2 linked regions of the Canis lupus familiaris genome follow. Each later gene encodes a partner of the first gene's protein in a complex. Links are inferred from orthologs where the notes say so. Each region holds a gene or a part of one and is shown in the gene's direction. Other genes may lie near its edges.

What was found. Proteins that work in one complex are often made in the same cells at the same time.
Region 2: POLR3G (region 1) and POLR3K share a complex: the UniProt entries of both Homo sapiens proteins name them as parts of the RNA polymerase III complex. The link is inferred for Canis lupus familiaris from reciprocal best matches to the Homo sapiens genes POLR3G and POLR3K.

Annotation. Positions count from the first base shown.
Region 1 is NC_049224.1:18,660,838-18,664,582, reverse strand, and holds the start of POLR3G (DNA-directed RNA polymerase III subunit RPC7), read left to right. Parts: upstream 1-1,290; 5' UTR 1,291-1,411; exon of another isoform or gene 1,412-1,427; intron 1,428-3,745. Other genes in the region: CETN3 (centrin-3), read right to left, coding at 1,271-1,287. UniProt on the Homo sapiens protein: DNA-dependent RNA polymerase catalyzes the transcription of DNA into RNA using the four ribonucleoside triphosphates as substrates.
Region 2 is NC_049227.1:40,886,900-40,890,561, forward strand, and holds the start of POLR3K (DNA-directed RNA polymerase III subunit RPC10), read left to right. Parts: upstream 1-813; 5' UTR 814-862; coding exon 863-973; intron 974-1,719; coding exon 1,720-1,807; intron 1,808-3,261; coding exon 3,262-3,389; 3' UTR 3,390-3,662. Other genes in the region: SNRNP25 (U11/U12 small nuclear ribonucleoprotein 25 kDa protein), read right to left, coding at 456-497. UniProt on the Homo sapiens protein: Core component of RNA polymerase III (Pol III) which synthesizes small non-coding RNAs using the four ribonucleoside triphosphates as substrates. Can mediate Pol I proofreading of the nascent RNA transcript.

The DNA of each region.
Region 1 (3,745 bases):
CGAGTCCCTGCACCGGGCTCCCTGCATTGGAGCTTGCTTCTCCATCTGCCTGTGTCTCTGCCTCTCTAACTCTCAAGAATAAATAAATGTTAAAAAAAAAAGGAAAAAAAAAAAAAAAAGCCAGGTATGTCTTAAGAGATACTCATCTTAGTGTTCCAAAATTTCGAATGGTGCCGCAACATCCGTACAAGAAGTTTGAAACCAATTTCCTAACACTTTGAAATGTAAAGCCTAGTTGATTTTATTTAATAAAAACACCTTACCTATTTGCCTGTGTTTTGCTTTCTAAAAACCTACCACAAAACCGTCAAGAGACAGACGATCAGAAGATGACCAGGAGACCTATAGTAATAAACAGAGCGGGGGGACAACCTTTCACAAGACACCTGACTTCGCGCGAACAGGGACCCCAGTCCCCGCGGTCACCTTCTCTGGACGGCCAGGTCAACAGCAGGACCCGCCACGGGGTCGAGGCAGGGCTGCCACCATCATCTCCCAACCCAAAGCCGCACCTGTTCAGAAAGGCGTAACCACCTTTTTTTTTTTTTTTTTTTTTTTTTTTTTTAAGGTGCAACGTGTAAAAACATCTAGGTGCTGCTGCTGCTGGGGGCAACGAACGGGGTTAGAGATTGGAAGTCAATGAAAGGTAAACAAAACTAAAAAAAAATTTTTTTTTGAGAAATCAATTAAAGTCATTTATATGGGTCGCCCGTTATATCTTAAAGCAGGGCCCCAGGATAAGAGCAAGGAAGAGTTTAAAGCTCTTTCCAAAATTTATAGCTCGGTCTGACGGCTGCAGGGGCTGCAGGGGCTGCAGGGGCTGCAGGGGCTGCAGGGGCTGCAGGGGCTGCAGGGGCTGCAGGGGCTGCAGGGGCTGCAGGGGCTGCAGGGGCCGGAGACCCGGAGGGCGGAGCTGAACCCAGGGAGGCTCCCCGGCCTGACTTCGCGGAGAAACACCGCGAGAAGAAGCATCGCGATATTTCACTCCCTCCTCCCAACTAGAAACCCATCTCCTCGGTGGTGCAAAGCCCGACGCGCTGATACAGACGCTAACTACCTCGGCACAAATGCACGGGACTCCTCACCTGCGGAGCACCAGGGCCCCCAGGGTGAGGAATCCGAGCCAGGAAGGCTGGCCGAGGCTCCTCGCCCTCATCCCAAAATGCATCCCCTTCCAGCTCGCCTCGGCCCAGCTACCTCCCTTCTACACACGCCAGCCCTGGGGCCCGCTGCGAGGTGTGGAGGGCATTGCGGCCTCCTCATTACCGACCTCAGAGCTAAACTCATTTTCTCTTCGGACAGAGACGTTCCCCTCGAGAACGACTTTAACGCCCTGCCCAAGGCAGCACGACTTCCACAAGCCGTTCAACAGACACCAACGACCTCAGCGGCCTCAAGGACCTCCCACAAGGTAGACGCTTCGGAGTCGGATTGGTTGACGTTGCTAACAGCCCGCCCATTGAGGCGGAAGCGTCCCTGGTCCTCTGCTCTCATTGGGCGTGCTTCGCGTCAATCAAAGAAGCCGCTCGTCCCTCTTCTTCTGCCCCTCCTCCCCGCCCTTTATTGGCTTGTTGAGGTTTCCCGGAATCCTTTGCGGAGCGAGGGTCCAGGTGTCTGCGTGGTAGTTTGGGCGGTAGGTGGCTGCACCTTGCCTCCCGCTGGGTGACCGCCGACGAGATGGACGGCTCCGGGGGAGAAGGGAGGGAGGGAGGAGAGGCGCGCCGCGGGGCCAGCCTCCTTAGCCGAAGGGAGGGAGCGGCTGGGGAATGAGGCCTGCCGAATTTGACTGCGCTGTGTTCTAAAACCTTGGGTGGCCTGAGTCCATGGGGAGTTTGTTTAAAACGCAGATTTAAACGTCCCGTCCTCCCAATTCTGATTTTAGTAGGTATGAATTTGCATTTTTTTCCCCCTTACAATCCCACGTGCTTTTAAGGCAGGTGCTGTCGCTTATAGATTGTATATCTAATGGGTTGGATTATTAGGCTACTTACGGTAAAGCGGCACTTGACGGTACCTTAGCTCCCTTCTCCCTCCCTGAAGGGATCTGTTCTCTTGCATCCTTTGTTTTACAGGGTTGGAAGCTGCTTATACACGTTATATTATCTTAAGCTCCAAACTAAGTTCTTGAAGCTCACCTGGGTAATTTGTTTACTTGTTCATCACTCCTACTAGGCTTTCTTCAAGTGCAGGATGGTATCTTTCATTTAACGCGGATCCCAGTGCCTGATACGGTGCCTGATGCACAGGCGCTCAATGAATATTTGTTGCGTTGGGTGGGATCTTGCTGTGAAAACCCACAAATCACTGAACTAAGTTGTAACCCTTATAAAGGAGTGAAATAGCCTGAATATGGCGTTGAGGCAGGGTAAGGGGGAAGATGTATAAACACTATGGGCTATGTATAAAGGATATATATATATATATATATATATCCTCAACATATATATGTTTATATATGTTTTTATATATGTTTATATATAAATATGTTTATACGTATAAACATGTTTATATATTTAATACACATGTTTATGTTGGGATCCCTGGGTGGCGCAGCGGTTTGGCGCCTGCCTTTGGCCCAGGGCACGATCCTGGAGACCCGGGATCGAATCCCATGTCGGGCTCCCGGTGCATGGAGCCTGCTTCTCCCTCTGCCTATGTCTCTGCCTCTCTCTGTGTGTGACTATCATAAATAAATAAATATATATATATATGTTTATGTATATATTTATATATGTGTTTAGGTATATATTTTTATTATATAAACATATATATATATATATGTTTAAAGAAGGGAGAGAACCAGTAGGACAGAAGAAAGTCTTCTTGAAGGATTTGGCCTATATGTTAGGCTTAGAAGGATGAACTAAATTTGGACAGGTAAAACTAGTATGATGGTGTAACTCTAAAAATTAAAGGTTAAAGGAAACCCCCCCCCAAAAAAAAAAAAAAACAAAATTAGAACACCTAACCTTTTAAAGTATTTCTATAAATCACTGTTGACTCGAAAAGGAAAGGTAATATTGCCACTAATACGGTTTTTGGTAGTTTAAAAGGAAGGTTGGGGCACCTGGCTGGATAAGTCTGTAGGGCATGCATCTCTCGATATCTGGGTTGTGAGTTCAAGCCCCACGTTGGGCATAAAGCTTATTTTAAAAAAATAACAAGAGGGAGGTTTACAAATTATTAAAGTACTTTATACGACTTCATGCTGCCAATGAATTTTAATATTGAAATGAAATAGTCACTTTCCAAGGGAAACAGATGACTCAAAAAAGATAGAAAACTGAATTAGGTCGATAACTATAGATAGAACTGAATGATAGGATGATGCCACAATTCCATGCTGTAAAATAAAAAGGCGTCCAACCCACTCAGAGTTCTGGGTGAGTTTAAAAATTCATGAGGAGCAGGCGCCTGGCTGGCTCAGTTGCAGGAGCATGCAACTCTTGATCTTGGGGTCGTGGATTCAAGCCCCACGTTGGCTGTAGAGATTACTTAAATAAAAAAGAAAAAAACACCAAACAACTTTGAATTCATAAAAATTCCCAAGGAACTAATTCTGGTGCTTTAAATTCAAAGTATGATGAAGAACTTAAATTTTGAAGCTTGCACAGAGAACATTTAAAGCATTTAATATCACTGACTGTATGCTCCATGATAAGAGGGTACATGTTGGGATGCCCGGGTGGCTTAGCAGTTAAGCGCCTGCTTTCGGCCCAGGTCGTGATCCTGGAGACTCAGGATT
Region 2 (3,662 bases), on another chromosome or scaffold:
CTGAAACAGGAGAGGGTGAGCGCCAGATCTGGGCTCTGGGGCTGGGAAGGAGGAGGCGCGGTCAGTCCGGGATCCAGGGCGACACCGGGCGGGGGGGGGAGGGGAGGCCGGTGTGCGAGGGTGACCGGGGCGCCCAACCCAGGAGTGAACGTCCTCGGGCGGGGCGCGAATCTCGATGCGGAGTCCCGGGGTGGAGCCGTTCTCCCCACTTGAGCCTCAACTACGGAAACGACCTTAGAACCTGCACCTGCAGCGCAGCCGCGCCCGGGGCGCCCGGGGCGCCGTCGGGGTCCGCCTTGGGACCGGACGACCGTCCGCCTGTCCCTGTCCCCTGCTGCCCCCGCTCGTGCTCGGGTCAGTGAGGTCCTTAAAGGACACGGGAGAATCGAGGCCCGCCGCATCGTCACCTCTGGCGCCCACAGGGGGAGGTCAGGCACCGAGGTCCCGCCGCGCACCTGGATCGGGAGGTCGCAGAGCAGCGGGTCCTGCACCACCATGGCGAGCCCCTCCTGGAACACGTCCACCGCCTCGGAGTGCGGCAGCGCCTCCTCTTCATCCTCCTCGGCCTCGGGCGCCTCGGGCCGCGCCGCCGCCGCCTCCGCCTCGGCCTCGGCCTCCGCCGGCTCCAGGGCGCCCGCCCAGCCCCGCGCTCCGACCGCGCCGCCGCCGCTTCCGGCCGCGAGGGGCGGGGCTGCCACGGGGACCGATGGGAGGCTCGAGGCGGCCTGCCGCAGGGGCTGCTGGGAGCGCCAACCCGGCCCGGCCATTGGGGCGGCGGCGGCCCGGGCCAATGGGAGCTCGCGACGGGCCCGACGCCGGCGCCCCGCGGCCGCAGGGGCTGCCGGGAGCGCGCGGGGCAGCCATGCTGCTCTTCTGTCCGGGCTGCGGGAACGGGCTGATCGTGGAGGAGGGACAGCGCTGCCACCGCTTCGCCTGCAACACCTGCCCCTACGTGCACAACATCACGCGCAAGGTGATCACCCGCCGCCCCCCGCCCAGCAGCCGACGCCCGCCCCGCCGGGGTGCTCCAGCGGCCCCGCCCCCGCCCCCCGCCGTATCGGGAGCGGCCTGGCCTCACCCGGCTCCCGTGGCGGCGTCCCCGGCGGCGGCCCGGGCGGCCTCGTCGGAGCCGTGGCCGGATCAGGCCCGCCCTGTGCGCTGGCGCGGCTGACTGCGGGTCCGGGCCGACGCCGCCAGCCCCCGGGGAGCAGCCCGCGCCGCGCACCGACACGGCCGCCGGGCCTTTGCACGTGCTCCCGCTGCCCTCCCCGCCCCGCCCGCAGCCTCGCCGTGTTTGGGTCGTGCCGAGCAGCGTGGCTCTGGCGGACTCGGGTCACCTGCGGACACGCCTCTACGGGACTTGCGTGCCTGGGGTCGGTGCTGCGGCCCCAACCCGGGCCCTGGACGGAGCCGCGGCGCACCGCCCGCCCCGAGCTGCCCGCGGGAGTTGGGGCCGCCGCCGCGACGCCCGGGACGGAGCCGGGGGCCTGCGCGGAGGGCCCGGGCCGAGCGTGGACGGGGTGGGGTGGGGGGTCCCGGCTGCATCCGCCTCTTGGGCCGGCCCGACGCTGGAGCCCCTGGACCCGGGCCGAGCCCTGCGCCGCGGGTGTAGAGACGCGGCTGCCCAGGATCGTGCAGCCCGCGGGGAGGAGGGCAGTCGGCGGCCGGGTCAGCACCGCGCCCCTACCCGCGGCCTGAACACCTGCCGCCTTTCGCCAGGTCACCAACCGGAAGTACCCGAAGCTGAAAGAAGTGGACGATGTGCTCGGCGGCGCGGCGGCCTGGGAGAACGTGGACTCCACCGCAGGTGAGAGCTGAGGCCGCGCTGCCTTTGAGGAAGGAAGCTCCTAAAAATAGCGTGTGTATTTTCTTCTTTAGTGATTTATTTCTTACACAGGCAATATTGGCATAAACCCCAGAGACGTACAGGTGTGGGTTAGTCTCAAAGCCACAGCCTCTTAACATCGCATGACCTTGGTGGCCTCCCTCCGTTGTGAGAGCGTGAAGGGAGCCCCGCAGCACTTGGCCTCTAGCGTGGTCCTCAAGTGGCGGCTGTGCGGGGAGCAACCGATGGCAGTAATGAAAGTCGGAGCCTAAGGAAGAGTATATGGTCCATTTGTTCAGTTGTGGATCTTTTTTAAAATTAATTATCTCTAAAAAATATTTTATTTATGTATTCATGAGAGACGCAGAGACAGAGACACAGGCAGAGGGAGAAGCAGGCCCCATACAGGAGCCCGATGTGGGACTCGATCCTGGGACCCCCCGGGGTCACACCCTGAGCAGAAGGCAGATGCTCAACCACTGAGCCACCCAGGGATCCCTGGTGTAGATTTTTATTTTTAATTAATTAATTTATTCATTCATTCGTTTGTTTGTTTGTTTATTTATTTATTTATTTATTTATTTATTTTTCTTCCTGGTGTAGATTTTTAAAAGCTGATGGCAGAGAGCATTCACATGTTTATTTCAAGTCTTGTTTCCTGTCTGATAGAGGTAGATGTGACCAGGGAAGGAAAGAAGAGAGCCCTAAACACATCTGTGTTGAGCGGAGGAAGACCCAACTCCTGTTTAGTATTATCTTTTCTCCCCCATAGAAGAACATCTAAATCTGATATGGTAAAATTAGCATTGGCAGAATTTGCCAGGAAAGAAAAGAAGATGATTTTGGTACCTAATGTTCAAAGTGCTGTTTGTGAGTGTTTGAAGGCATTATCAAGCATAGGGTCAGTTTCCCGAACTGAAGTCACTTTGCCTTGAGGTATTTGGCAAAGGTGTGGGTTGTATGGTGAGGTCTTCATAAGAACGGCCTGAGGAACTGCTGCCGAGATGGATCCCTAAATTTAATGGGAAGTGGATTTGTCATCCCCTGGGGGCTCCTCCAGGAAGTTGAGAGGGCTTAGGTGATGGAGATGCACTTGGAAGAATCTGCCCAGAGTGGACCCCATCATGCACATGGTAGCCATAAGCCACATTTCATGTCACATTTCCAGCTAGTCTTCAACCAGATTTGAGAAGAAAAATGGGACTCAGGGAGGGGAGCAGGAGTGTTTTCCAGGGTCACAAGTCCCCTCAGTGTGAGAGTGTAGTGGGAATGATGCCACTAATTACAGCCTTTCAGTCATGGCGCAAGGTGCCCTAGGCAGGGGATGCCAGATGATTGGGGTCGGGGAGGGATTTGGTGTGTTAATACCTACCTACTTCTAGCAGGTGTGTTTGGTCATGAGCATAATGTGGGTCACTTGTTTTTCTCGTTGCCAGAGTCATGTCCTAAATGCGAACATCCTCGTGCCTATTTCATGCAGCTTCAGACTCGCTCTGCAGACGAGCCGATGACCACCTTCTACAAGTGCTGCAATGCTCAGTGTGGACACCGCTGGAGGGACTAGGGCCAGGATCCAGCTGTGTCATTGTCTGCCTACCTTGTTCCCTAGGGTGGATTCACAGCCAGGAGTGTGAACTGTTTGTCCTGAACTGTCTCTGCTGATGTGGCCAAAAGCTAACCCTTTCACGGGAGCTGGTCAGGGTACCAGCCCATCTGGCAGTCAGCGGATGAGCTCATTTATATCCAGGGGGATTGTGTGTGCAGGGAAGGGTATACATAAGTAAGTGTGTTCTTTTTAATATCCTGTTTGTGGATCTTGTAGGTATATTGGCTAATT